Arabidopsis thaliana: one gene and its partner. The protein of the gene in region 1 interacts with the protein of each later gene in a pairwise test. Each region holds a gene or a part of one and is shown on either strand. Other genes may lie near its edges.

Region 1 (8,578 bases):
TGCGAGAGAGAAGAGACTGGTAGCGAAGAAGAAGAGAAGGAGGCGAAATGTTTTTTTTTTTTTGGTTTGTTTGGAGAAAACTTGTTCAAGGAACGAAACGCATGAACAAACAGCAGCCTCTTTCTTCTCTCCGAGAAAGCTCTCTCTTTCTCAAGTTTTTATATATACTATTTTTTTTTTTTTTATAAACCTTTTTTTGTTATACTAGGTTTTTCCTAATTTGTGTATAAGTTAAATTTTTAGAACATAGACAATGATCAAAGTTCATAACTGTATTTTTTTTTATTATAATTTCAGAATTAGAAAAATTGCAAGAAAACTTATTATTTCTATAGTTGTTTATGTATTTATAAAAAAATAAATAATTGTATTTACTTAACTTTGTTTACCCACATAAAAGACTTTCGTGCTATGGAAAAGGGTTAAGACTATTTACGAACGAGAAGAGATTTATTAGTTTATACGAACGGAAAGAGATTCACCTGTATTAACGTACGAAAATGAGGATTTAGTTGAACTCTTACAGGAAAAGAGAATAAAACAGTTTTAACGAACAGAAAAGAAGTTTATATATATTTTTTCTGTTATATTAGGTTTTCCTTATTTGTGTACAAGTTAAATTTTTGGAACAAAGACAATGATCAAAGTTCATAACTGTATTTTTTTTTCTATTATAAATTCAGAATTAGAATAATTGCAAGAAAACTTATTACTTCTAAAGTTGTTTCTATATATATAAAAGAAAAAAAAAAGAAAAAAATAATTGTATTTATCTGACTATGTTTACCTACGTAAAAGACTTTCGTGCCACGGAAAAGGTTTAAGACTATTTACGAACGAGAAGAGATTTACTAGTTTACATGAACGAAAAGAGATTTACCTGTATTAACGTACGAAAATGAGGATTTAGTTGAATTTTCGCGGGAAAAGAGAGTTAACGGTTTTAACGAACAGAAAATGAGTTACTTGTAAAAAATACTTAGCATATGTTTAAGTGAAATTTCTAGTTAACTATGAGAAACTGTTTCACGCCCTTTGGAATATATATGGCAACTTGATCAATGTATATGACCAATTTTAGCTAAGTTATCAATTTTCTTACTTTTTTACACATATCATATAAGTTACTTGTAAAGTACACTATTTTTTGATATGATCAATTTTAAAAAGAAAAATATTATTATTTAAGTAAGATATCTAAATATTAATTTTAATATCTTTTGATAAATAATTTACTATAATTAGTTAATAGACATTAGTGATCATAAATATATTACCAGATTATGTAATACAATTATTAATAAGTATTTTTACCAAATATTAATTGAATTTTAGCCTAAATAGTTAATCAACATTAATATTTCATTAACATGGTACCAAATTGCCTAATTATAATGTCAATGTGTCTGAATTTTAAATATATTACCAAATTATACATTAAAATATTAATATTTTGTTATAGTATTTATTTGAATAAAGAAATTTAGTATTTTCTTCCTATAAAAGGATGACTAGGAGACAAATTTTTAGATTTTTAAAATAAAAGGCTGACTCTTCCAGAACTAAATATAGATATATTATTTATTAATTAAAGGTTACTAAAGTGAAGTCTAAGTGATTTGGTTTAAGAATTTTTGTTTAGAATTTACAATTTTCAGTTTAGTTTTAGATAATTTTGTTAATTGGATATTGACATTTTGTTTGTAGCCAGAAGTTGTTGTTTTTAAAAGAAAAGCTTTATTTTTGCTACCCAATAATGATGAGAAGAGATTACATAAACAAATTAAAATCAATACATGATACGAACTAATCTAGCTAAACGATTTACTCAATAACTTCACCCAATTCGTTTCGAAATCTAAGCAATATATCCCTCAAAAAATCATAACTAACATAACCAACATAAGTGTTTCCAATTTTGAGCGAATGAGAACAAACTTCTTCCCTGACACTTAACTCTTCGTAAGATGATTAAAATAATATATGATTATTGCTTCTTCACACACACGATCTCTAAAGCAATTTACCCATTAAATCTTTATATCTATATATAAAAATAAGTTTGATACATTACTATGCTCTTTGATGGGCAAAAGTAAAAAAAAATTGCTTTGATTTTGTAGACGAGTTTTGGGCATGCAATTTTTATTTACATCTTTTCAACAAAAACAATTAAACAAAACAAAATTTTGCTTAGACATTGTCCATGTTAAAGTTCAAAAATTGTACGAAAAGTAAGCGGTAGAAAATTTTGCTCTATTTAGGTTTATCGAAGTAATCTTTCTATTTGTTATATGTTGTATAATTTATAGTAATATGTTTATTTAGTTACAATCTTTTCGTAGGTTAACTATATTACTTCTAACTTTTGTATGTTTAACAGATTTTTTATTTACCTCTATCAAAACCCTGCAAAACACACAATCAAACTCGCAATACTCTACTACATCGATTAACTAATCCACGACACTTATTTTCTTTTGTACTTAAAAGTTAAAAATATATTAACACGTCCTATAGTAAAGCGGTGTATGCCTCGTCCACGGATTCTAAAGTTTACACATGTTTTAAGTTTAACACCTTAAAACCATCTAAACTCTACTTTTTAAAAGGGTTTTATGCAAAAAAATCCTCAAACTCGTCTATTTTTACAACTTTATTCTTCAGATCCAAAAAATGCAAAATATCATATGAATTTCAAAATAATACACAATATAGATTTTTCGTTACTATCAAATTTTAAAATTTTGATAAATAATATATTAAATCGGAACCTCGAGATGAAGAGTTCAAGTATATCTTTAAAAGTTTTAAAAACAAATGTATGTAATCGTGAAAACATTTACAATATATATAAAATTGCAAAATAGGCTATTTTAGATTTCATAAGATTATTTTGTATTTTTTAAAACAACAAACTCAAGTCTACATAATTAATATATTCAACTCAAAACTCCAAACTGAAAGCTTAAGAAGCCCAACAATTGTAAGCCCAATTAAAAAGCCCAGTAAGTGAACGCGTAAACAAAAAAAGTAAAGACTCTCATGGAACAATCAAAAACGCCGAAACAATGCTTCGTCTCCGATTATTCCACGAAACACCGCGTTTTTGTTTACATTTCTTCTCTTTCTCTCTCTCTCTTCTCTCATATCTCTCTCTTCGCCGTCAGGTTTTGCCCAAATTTCTCGGTCTTCTTCACTCCCGCGAGTTTTTTTTCTCGGGAAAATTTTCCAATTCCAAGCTCCATTGAAGCCAAGTAAGAGGTGCGATTCTCTTCAATTTTGACTTGGAACTTGTAAATAGCGTATGGATTTGAGCTGGTTATGGACAGAATTCTAGCTCGTATGAAGAAATCAACTGGACGAAGAGGAGGAGATAAGAATATTACTCCGGTACGGCGGTTAGAGCGTCGCGATGCGGCGAGGAATATCAATTACGACGCAGCTTCATGTTCTAGTTCGTCAGCTGAAGATCTTTCCGTTTCGACTTCTTCGTTGATGACTCGCTCTTTGGAGTTTCCGGAGCCTACTAGTTTCCGAATCGGTGGTGGTGTTGGAGAGATGGATCGGATTTATCGGTCTCTTGGTGTTTCTGGTCCTGATGATTTGGCTATTTCTTTTGATGCTTGGGAAGCTTGTAAGAAACGTTCTTCTTCAGATGTTGTTAATAGGTTTAAGTCTTTTGATCTTGATAAGGTTCGTGATCAGGATTTGAGTGAAGAAGGTCCTAGTGGTGTTGTTGTTGGTTCTGATTCAATGAATCATAAGGTTCAGGGTCAGGATTTGAGTGAAGCAGGTCCTAGTGGTGGAATTGTTACTGAGTTGAGTGAGATTGGGAATTTAATCACTCCTGTGGATAGGTTAGTAGCTGATGGTGTGGTAGAGAATAGGCGTGTTATGGAAAGAACACCAACTATTGTGAAGTCGAAAGGGTATCTTGTACCAAATAATGTAGTGGCTGTTGGTGTTGGTGTTGGTGGTGGTATTAAGGGGCTAAGACCACCAGTACTTAAGCCTCCTCCGGCTATGAAACGACCCCCTATTGATCATCGGGGATCGTCTTGGGATTTCCTGACGCATTTCGCTCCAAGTGAAACAGTTAAGCGGCCGAGTTCCTCTTCTTCTTCTTCCGAGGATGGATGCGATGAAGAGGAAGGCAAGGAAGAGGAAGCGGAAGCGGAAGAGATGGGAGCTAGGTTTATCCAGTTGGGGGATACGGCTGACGAGACGTGCTCATTCACTACAAATGAGGGTGACTCCTCAAGCACAGTATCCAATACTTCGCCTATCTATCCAGATGGAGGAGCTATCATAACGTCTTGGCAAAAGGGTCAACTTTTGGGACGAGGATCATTTGGTTCTGTGTATGAAGGCATTTCTGGGTAAGTCTTACTGGTTGCTTGTGTTTGTTGAACTTGAAATCAGATACTTAGTCGCATGATGTTTTAAAAAAGTAGACACTCAATGAGGAATACTACAGTAGTCGGCTGACAAATGTGGTCCAAACGAGTCTTCCATTATGCGTTTGGCTAATGGATGTTTATGTTATATGTAGAGATGGGGACTTCTTTGCTGTCAAGGAAGTTTCACTTCTTGATCAGGGAAGTCAGGCACAAGAATGCATACAACAACTTGAGGGGGTATGGAAATGGAAGTTTCATATACATGGGTCAATGATCCGTAGCATTTATCACTTCTGTCATTATCTCATGGAGCAGTCAAAAGTAGGTTGCTAATCCACCTTACCTTTGCCATATTTTTCATTTTCTACAGGAGATTAAACTACTTAGTCAGCTTCAGCATCAGAATATTGTGAGATATCGTGGCACAGCCAAGGTGTGGTCCTGTTCTCTCTTTCTTTTTCTTAGTTGCAGTTGCCTAACTATTTCATTGTGCAATAATAACTCATTTCGCTGTTTTCAGGATGGGTCAAACTTGTACATTTTTCTTGAGCTTGTAACCCAAGGGTCCCTTCTAAAACTCTACCAAAGATACCAGCTTCGGGACTCTGTAGTCTCCTTGTACACTAGACAGATTCTTGACGGTTTGAAATATCTCCACGATAAAGGTTTTATTCACAGGTTAGACTAGTAAACTCTCTTGGTACAGCTGTAATTCCCAAGCATCTATCTAATTTCCTGCATCTCATGGGTTACTTATTTTTATCATTTTATGCAACAAAGGGACATCAAATGTGCAAATATATTGGTGGACGCTAATGGCGCCGTCAAACTTGCAGATTTTGGATTGGCAAAGGTTTTTTTCCATAAATAGATATTTATAGCTTTGCTCTAAAGTAATTACTTGGTCCATCGTTTAGTACCCTGATATGTTTGTCATTTTTTTTTATTTAGGTTTCAAAGTTTAACGACATTAAGTCCTGCAAGGGAACTCCATTTTGGATGGCTCCAGAGGTATGGTTTTGGGAAACTTTCCCAGTGATTTACATTAATAGAAATGTTCTGGTCTGGGCTTTATAACCTCAAAAACTCCTGGTTATGTTTGCTTCAAATATTTGGTGAAATTTTCTTTATATCAGTTAATGGTTTTTGATAATTGTAAGTATGTATGTTAATCGTACGTAACAGATGTGGATTCATTTCACTTTCATTGTACTTGAGGCTATACTTGTATGGTTATATCTAAATAGAACATAATCATTTGATCAGGTTATTAACCGAAAGGATAGTGATGGCTATGGAAGTCCAGCTGATATATGGAGCCTCGGGTGCACTGTGCTGGAAATGTGTACTGGTCAGATCCCCTACTCTGATCTCGAACCCGTAAGTCTTCAAGATTTTCAAACTTTTGAACTGTCTTAATAATCTTAAACGACATTTGAAGTGTCTACTTTATGGGATTTTATGAGTTAAAAGTCAGAATTTGTGCAAACGCGCAGGTTCAAGCCCTGTTTAGGATCGGAAGGGGTACTCTTCCGGAAGTACCTGATACGTTATCACTAGATGCTCGGCTTTTCATACTTAAGTGTCTTAAAGTGAACCCGGAAGAGCGGCCAACTGCAGCTGAACTGCTGAACCATCCATTTGTGAGAAGACCCTTACCATCCGTGGGTTCAGGAGGCTCGGGATCAGCATCTCCCCTTCTCCGTAGATGAGGCTAATTTTAGTAAATTTCCTCAATAGGTGAAGTATTTAGTTGCTTTTTTCATGAGGATATTATCAGAATCAACAAAAGCTATATATTCTTCTAACATTGATGTCCTAATGTACAAAAGCAGGCATAACCCGAAGATTTATGAGAGATTAGATCCCAGAGAAACTATTGGGAGACACGAGACATGATTCTTCGACACACACACACGTGCGGTCGGGTTGCGCAGCAAGAGCCAAACTTACTTAGTTTCTGTGTCATTCGTTGGTTATTTGTTGCAAGTTATGTGTTGGGCTTGATTTTAAAACTGAAGAGCCTTATTTTTCTAGGAATTAGAAATGTCGACCTTGGGGTTTTTGGGTGTATAGGTTTTGTTTAGTTTTTTTTGTTAAATTATAGTGTATGTATGTCTGTATCTATATCATGTAATGTATAATTATAGTTGGTTCTTATAGTTCCTGGCTTGTTGTAACTGTGTACACACATCGATGGGTTTAAGTTCTATTTGTCTCATATTTTAAAGAAATCTGCTGCTCTAATCATCTATTAAAAAGTATAGTCAAGATATTTTCTATAATTCAGGTCAAAGCCACTTTAATTGAAGTCTATATAATTCAACTTGTTTTTTTTTCTTTTACAATATTGCCCGTTGAAAAGTTATTGGAAATGATGGATTTATAAAAAAATTCAAAAGTGACCAAAAAAAAAGATAATCGAAAGAATTTTGGCTTTGACCATTTTCAACGGGGATCTAAATGCCAGGAAAAAAAATACACAAGATACCTATACTTGGGATTATACCAAGTTTGGAGTACGACTAGATAGAATATTTGTTAGATTCGCTTTGATCCGTTATTCTACTCAATTTAATTATAATTTTCTAATCACCTAATTAATTATTTGAACTACTAGTTTTAACATTGAAAAGAGAAATATAAAATATTACTATTTTTGATAAAATTTTACTATTTTTGGATTAAATTTTATATTTTTATATTTTTTTAAAATAAATATTTAACAAATCCGATATATGATAATTAAATGGTTTAGATTTTAACGGATATTCAAAACCACCGAATATTTGGTCTCTCTCAAAGCAAATACAAAAAAAAAAAAATAAGTATTCTGATAAAGCAAATCGAATCACAAACAACACCAAAATCCCGGATATCTGCTCTCTGCTCAGCCCTAATTCGGAGGCTATACTGTCAATTCTGGATATTGGGTGCTCACACAGGTTATACAAAACAAGAATAGTCTCCAAGAGGTTTCATAGCCAAGTCTAACCCTATTTTGACTCTTTACGTTATTTCTCGTGTCTTTTTAGTGTCTTTTCAGGTATTTTATGCAATAAGACAATATTGGAGATAAGGAAACATTTTGTAGCAAAAACTAACGAAAAGGAAGCTAAGGACGACTTTGGTTCAAGAATCAGCAACGAGTGTCGACCGACACACTCTTGGTGTCGATCGACACTAGTTTCGGCCCAGCAAAAACCCTAGACGCTTTCGAGTTTCCAGAAGCTCAACTTTGTCCCAGAAGATTTCCCTATTTGCATTATTAGTCCCTGGACGTTTTTAGGGTCTATATATATTGTTTTTAGACCTAAGTTTCATTTATCAAGTCTTTTATCAAGTTCTTTGCAAACCCTATTGTAAGAGACATAAGCTATTCATCCATTGTTATTCAGAGTTTCATTCAGATCTATATACAGTGAAGAGATCCCTTCTTTCCCCTTCTCTATTCATTGTGTTTATGCTTTTTTATCTCAATTATGTTGTTTGTTTCATTCAATATGTCTGAGTAATCTGCTTGTTAGGAATAGGGTTTCTCATTAGGGATTCATATGGTTTAGTATATTGCCCCCTTTGCTAAGTTATCTGTAGAATTCTTCATCTTTAATTATACCTAATGTTATATCTAGAGTAATTAACTAGATCTTGAATCCAGACAATAGATATGTCCGCCATAGGTATTTGTAGTTGAATCTATTATTTGATCAGTTTGGTCTATAGGTGTGTAATAAGAATCGGCCTATTTACTAAGATGAACAATTGAACTCGTTAAGAATGCATATTTAGGTTGATAGTCTCTCGGCTTCTCCGGTCACTATTAGCTATAGATATAGGGAGTTTCGCGGCACGCCCACCGGTTATTCCATAATTAGAGTTTGAGTTTAAGAATGGTTCGATAACAACCTAGCTTTCATTAGATCTACTAACCAATAGCTTCCTGAGAATACCCTGTTCCTAGCTCTTTTCCTAATCGTTTACAACACAATCAATCTGCTGTTTTCTTATTTTGTTTTCTTAATATTTCACACATACCCTGCTAGCTTAATCTCGATATTTAACTCACTGTTTGAACAAAAGAACTCCTTGAATTCGATCCTAAAATACTGCAATTGATCTCTTATTTGAGAGAGTAGTTCTAGGTAATTTGAACCATATCAAATTTGGCGCCGTTG
Region 2 (6,376 bases), 7.0 Mb from region 1:
TATTTATAATTTTCCCTCCATTGGTTTTGTAGATAAGAAACTAAAGTTAGGCTATTTAATGCGTATATCTATTTATGTACCTCAATAATTTGAATTAGTGAGGAAAGAGTTAAAGTTGAAGGATAATAAGTTTATTTTAAGTGTGAAAATGTCGAATATGTGTTGACTATATCAAAGGGATTGAAAGCAATGTTTTTCCGTACATGAGTTTTTTTTAAATTGTTTGGCATTTTCCTACTTTACTAATTTATTGCTGTTTTTAGCGAGTCCAATTGGCTACTGATATTTGGCATAGCAAATTATATTTTTTTTTCATTCTACTAAAAATACTGTGCAGCGTTGACACACACACACAAAATACTGTTGCGTAATTAGAAATAAATGCGATACTTAATGCCGTAAAGTTTACAGATCATACAAAAAAAATCTTCTTGGTTTTGTAATGAAGCAATGCAGAAATAATATGTCAACTTACGTCATTATCTTGTGAGCTGATTCAAAGATTTCAAGAGTTATGTTTTGGATGCAAATATGTCAAATTACATAATTTCAGCTGATTCTATGAAGTGTAAATACAAATTTAGGGTGCAAAGTGCCAAGATTCATTTTATAAGGATGAATGATGAATGAGATCCAAATAATAATAATAATACAATGAATGAATGACGCAAAAGAGAGTGACGCCATTATAAAAATTAAAATATCATTTGGAGTACTAAAACTAGAAAACAAAAAAGAATGATAAAAGGGAAAATCCACGCGGAGAGAGGTTTGAAATGTCTTCGGTCCAATCCTGTCCTTTTGAATATTGATTTTCTTTTTGATTTTTCTTGCTTTTTATTAATCAACAAATCTGTTTTTTGGAATTACGTTTTTTCTACGTTGAAGTGATTTTTTTTCCTTTTGTAAAAGGCCTACGTTGAAGTAAAATTACATAAATAAATGTATGTTATGAATATCGACCCAAAAAACAAATTATTTCTACACTATACTTTGCGCAAATCAAATCTATCGAAAACGATTTTGGTAATCCCATTCCCATGAGTGAGTTTTGACCCAAAACAAATTTAAAAAAGTAACCATTTCATTAGTAAAACGGTAAATATGGTTCATAAACCTTTTAGTGGTTATTGGTCCTGTACACTACACTCGTGTGTGTCAACTTCAGCTATGAGATTTTTGCTGTAACTTTTTGGATAACGGTTCAATTATTACAAAGGTTATTTCTTACGTATGAGAGGTCCAAATTACAATTGAATAATATTTGATGACATACAAAGTTAAAAAGGATTAATCATAAGAAATGAATGTTGGAATGGAATGCATCTATCGATCTGACTACTTTAGATAGCTTGATGTTGGACTTAGTCAGCAAAGACCTTATCATACTCTTGTTGTATTGTATATATCGTATCACACAGTGACTGGTTTTTTCTACTTTTCTCTTTGGAACATATCAATCATTATGTATAAATAAATTTTGTCCAAATTAATGGCCATTTGTCTCAACCATAAATAAATATTTATTCACACACCTATATGACTATTTGAGATAATTCCATGGTGACTTGGTCAGCAAAAACCTTGTCATACTCTTGGTGTATTATCACATAACTTTGTAGATTATATTCTTATGGAACATATCATATATATTTGTCCAAATTAAACCCATTTGTATTATTTTCCCCTCTCGAGTTTAATATTTCTTATTTAGAAACAGTTAACAACTTGACATAGCTCACATAATCACTCACAGACTATATATGTATAAGCAACTACCATTTTAAATATTATTTAGTTATATTGTTAGACTGCAACTATTATTTATTTTCTTTGCCAAACAAATTTATATTTTTTCATGTTAATACAATATTATATCTTGAACAAATGTATGCTTAAATATATTGACACAAAACAAAAACATATAGGGGTTTTTAGGAAGAAATTTTGTACAGATTAATTAATCCTCATCAGATTTTTATTTTATATCTTATTTTTAGAAGTGTATGATTTTAAAACTAGAACAATCAAATCTTAGTAAATTTCATTCAACATAATTTTTATGTTATTGCTAATCTATTGAATGTTAATAAGAATTGTATTATACCAAATTACCAATATGTGTTTTGATACTTGTACTTAAAACAGAATGTGGAATATCCTTTCCCTTATTAATGATATTAAACATCATTACAATTCATAGTTATAGCAATGAAATATTATCCATAGAAAGGTTGTTGCATAATGCATACTAGTAAAGCATCAACCAACATATTTTGAAAATATTCTTAATCAAATAAAAAACATATATTGGAAATTCTTTAACAGTAGAAAAAAACATATAATAATAGAGAATCTTAATCACATGTACAAAGTCGTAGTTTTGAAAGTGTACATTGAAAGAGACAGTTGTATAACCCTTTGTTGTCTAATTATATAATTAACCCACTATAGTTAAATAAATGATAAACTTGGTTACAACTACATTAACAAAATTGAAATGTTGAATTGGTCAGCCTTTGACCTTATACTCTTTCACTACCACCACCCCACTTATCAATTACACTCTGGCCCTATACTTCCTTATACCAAAGACTTTTCTTCAATTTGAAAGTTTTGTCTCTCTTTTAAAAAGAAATAAAATAATTATTTATGGTTTGGTCATTTGGTCAAATTTTCAAACACTGAAAATCCAATGCCTTTATATACCAAACCAACACTCATCCATTTTTATCACCAATCCTATAACACTCTCATTCTCATCATATCATTCTTCAATCTATATAACCCATTCTTAATTATACTCAACACACATTATATTTTTCTGATCATATCATTCTTTCAGTCCATCTATATAACCAATTCTTGATTTATACTTAAAACACACATTATACATCTTTCTCATCATAGTTTGTATCAATTTCCTAGAGTAAACTACCTAAAGGAAAAAAAAAATCTATTTTGGGAATCATATACTAAAAATGGAAGGAAGAGATATGTTAAGTTGGGAGCAAAAGACATTGCTAAGCGAGCTTATCAATGGATTTGATGCGGCCAAAAAGCTTCAGGCACGACTTAGAGAAGCTCCGTCGCCGTCGTCATCATTTTCATCACCGGCGACGGCTGTTGCTGAGACTAACGAGATTCTGGTGAAGCAGATAGTTTCTTCCTACGAGAGATCTCTTCTTCTGCTAAACTGGTCATCCTCACCGAGCGTACAACTTATTCCGACGCCGGTTACTGTAGTCCCGGTGGCAAATCCCGGCAGTGTTCCAGAATCTCCGGCATCGATAAACGGAAGTCCGAGAAGTGAAGAGTTTGCCGATGGAGGAGGTTCTAGCGAGAGTCATCATCGCCAAGATTACATTTTCAATTCAAAGAAAAGGTAACAAATTGTTGATATCTTTTTTCACAATTCACCAAATTGAATTTAAAAATCTCATTTTTTCTAGAAACTAATTTGAAATTTGGGTAATTTTTGCAGAAAGATGTTACCAAAGTGGTCAGAAAAAGTGAGAATAAGCCCAGAGAGAGGCTTAGAAGGACCTCAAGATGATGTCTTTAGCTGGAGAAAATATGGTCAAAAAGACATTTTAGGCGCCAAATTCCCAAGGAGTTATTACAGATGCACACATCGTAGCACACAAAACTGTTGGGCAACGAAACAAGTCCAGAGATCAGACGGGGATGCTACGGTTTTCGAAGTGACGTACAGAGGAACACACACTTGTTCGCAGGCGATCACAAGAACACCACCATTAGCCTCGCCGGAGAAGCGACAAGACACCAGAGTCAAACCAGCCATTACCCAAAAGCCAAAGGATATTCTCGAGAGTCTTAAATCCAACTTAACCGTTCGAACCGATGGGCTTGATGATGGTAAAGACGTTTTCTCGTTCCCTGATACGCCGCCGTTTTACAATTACGGAACTATCAACGGCGAGTTCGGCCACGTGGAGAGTTCTCCGATCTTCGACGTTGTTGACTGGTTCAATCCAACGGTCGAGATTGACACAACTTTCCCCGCGTTTTTACACGAGTCGATTTATTATTAATTAAAATTTGTAACAGAGAAATAGATAGTAACTAGTAAGTAATGATCAGCGAGAGTTAAAACATAAAAGTACTTAGAGTAATCTAACGATGCATAATAAGGAATGTTCAACAGGACTTGAACATGATTTCAATACTAAGAGAGATTTATCTAGCTACTGGTAGTAGCCGCAGACTTCTTGTTGTAAGCTTCCACTTCCTTTTTGTATGCTTCCATCAGTTTTGCGGCCTTTCCGTTGTAAACTTGCTTCTCTTCTTCACTCAATTCCTGCAAAGACGTATTCGCACAGATAGATTAACAACAGGAAATTGTTACAAGCCAATGTGTTTTGTTGCTAGTAATTGTGATTTTTCATACCTTCCATTTCAGTGAAATGAGAGCAGTAACAGTAGCGTTGTTTGTCCCGGGACGTTCTTCTGTCAATTTCTTCCTTTCGTCCTTGCTGTAAAAACATGATAAGTTAGGAACTTTCTATAAAGACCAATTCGGATTATAACTTGAAGTAAGTTCATACCTGAAGAGAAAGTATGAAGAAGCAGGCTTCTTTGGTTTGTTAGGGTCAACGTTTTCGTTCTTCTTCTTCTTGGTCGCCTTCTCCTTCTGCAAGAGACAAATAATTATGATCCTGTGAGTCTCTGAGTTGAAATAGACCTTGGTGAGTTAAGTGTGAGTGAGAGAGAGTTATTACCTTGATCAGATTATCAGTTTTCTCCTTCTTCTTAAGCATTTGAAGAGCTTCTTGTTTGTGGAGTTTCAAGAGTTCCTCTTCTTCTTTCTTCTGACTCAGGGCTTCTTCTTCCTTTGTCCTCTTGTATTCCTCCATTGCTTGCAGGTATGTCTCCTTGTTCTTCTTTGCCACCTATTTAAACAAGAATACCTCAATCATTCAGTCTTAAGTCTTTAATGGCAGTGAAATGCAAGCATATTTGTATGGAAACAGACCTTCTCGTAGGGTGCCTTTTTCTTGTCTGACAAGTTCTTCCACTCCTCTCCAGTGATCTTTGCGACCTATAACCACATTTAAACTCCATAAGTTAGCTTCACAATTTGACAAAAACTGATCTGGAGAACGAATTAAGTAATTAGATTTACCTCCACGACGCTTTTGTTTTCTTCGCGTAAAGCAGCTCTCCTCTCGTTTGCATAAACAAGGAAGGCAGATACGGGATGTTTTGGCTTCAGAGGGTCCTTCTCCTTCCTGCAAACCATAAACAGCTCTAGTTAGTTTACTATTGATGATCAAATTGATATAGTCACTAAGACTTTTGGTTTTTACTTGTTCTTCTTCTTGTTGTCCTGTTCAGCTTCCTGGACAAAGTTGAGATACTGATCAAGCAATTCCATTGCAGTTCTCTGCTTCTGGTCATCCTCCAGAAGCTTCATGGCCTCCTTCTCGCGCTTCTCCTTAGCAATGACCTGGAGGTAAGCTTCTTTCTCAACCTGGTACCTTTCCTCGTAAGGCTTCTTATCTTCTGCACTAAGAGACTTCCATTTAGCCCCCAGAATGTTCGAAGTCTCCTTGAAGTCAGCCTCAGGGTTTTCCTTCTTGACTTCAGTCCATTGATCTTTACACCACAAAACGTATGAGGACGATGGTCGCTTTGTCTCAGGACAATCCTTTTTCTTCTTCTTATTCGCCTTTTCTTGCTCAGCCTGTGTGAGAGATGACTGACCGCAAGCAAAAGTCTGAAGAGCAAAAAACACAAAACACTCTCGAATCAATATCCAGAAACCAGTAAATATTTTCTCATCATCAACAACAGATAACAAGGAATTGTCAATTGAAATGAACATATCACTATATTAGCAACTGTGTCAACAACAAACGCATCATACACTAAACGAGAACCAATCCTGACTCTGACTTAGATTCTAATCTCTAACCTATGAATCTATGACGAAACTTTGATCAACTATCAAAACAAAATCTCAAATGATCAATAACACATTCGGAATAAGCATAAACCAGATATATTCCAACCTAATCTAAACACCTAGATCTAGAAACTGACTATCAAGCCAAAATCTGAAATGATCAATCAATAAATTCCAATATAATCACAAAACCCAGCCAAATCGAGAACTAAAAGCTAGATCTAGAGATTATACCATGTTAGGTTTGAATTCCTTCATCTTCTGAAGCTTCTTCAGCTCCACCTTGAGCTTCTCCTGCTCAGCGTCTCTGGTCTCTAGCTCCTCCTCCTTCTTTCTCAGAATCTCATCCTTCTCCTTAAGTAACTCCTCCGTCTTATCCTTCTCGATCTTCATCTTCTCCAACATTGTCTGCATCTCCATCAGATCTTGCTCGAAAGACTTCGCTGA

The links. The genes of interacting proteins can lie anywhere in the genome.
Region 2: the proteins of MEKK1 (region 1) and WRKY53 interact in binary tests that used the Arabidopsis thaliana proteins (3 or more experiments, as listed by UniProt).

The regions. Positions count from the first base shown.
Region 1 is NC_003075.7:5,401,809-5,410,386, reverse strand, and holds MEKK1 (MAPK/ERK kinase kinase 1), read left to right. Parts: upstream 1-3,066; 5' UTR 3,067-3,324; coding exon 3,325-4,382; intron 4,383-4,555; coding exon 4,556-4,640; intron 4,641-4,773; coding exon 4,774-4,836; intron 4,837-4,923; coding exon 4,924-5,081; intron 5,082-5,183; coding exon 5,184-5,256; intron 5,257-5,354; coding exon 5,355-5,414; intron 5,415-5,669; coding exon 5,670-5,783; intron 5,784-5,899; coding exon 5,900-6,115; 3' UTR 6,116-6,143; intron 6,144-6,238; 3' UTR 6,239-6,716; downstream 6,717-8,578.
Region 2 is NC_003075.7:12,390,345-12,396,720, reverse strand, and holds WRKY53 (WRKY family transcription factor), read left to right. Parts: upstream 1-2,738; 5' UTR 2,739-2,981; coding exon 2,982-3,385; intron 3,386-3,484; coding exon 3,485-4,055; 3' UTR 4,056-4,204; coding exon of another isoform or gene 4,205-4,321; 3' UTR 4,322-4,351; downstream 4,352-6,376. Other genes in the region: 3xHMG-box2 (HMG (high mobility group) box protein), read right to left, coding at 4,205-4,321, 4,412-4,496, 4,569-4,654, 4,743-4,913, 4,997-5,062, 5,147-5,252, 5,331-5,740, 6,164-6,376. UniProt on the Arabidopsis thaliana protein: Transcription factor. Interacts specifically with the W box (5'-(T)TGAC[CT]-3'), a frequently occurring elicitor-responsive cis-acting element. May regulate the early events of leaf senescence. Negatively regulates the expression of ESR/ESP.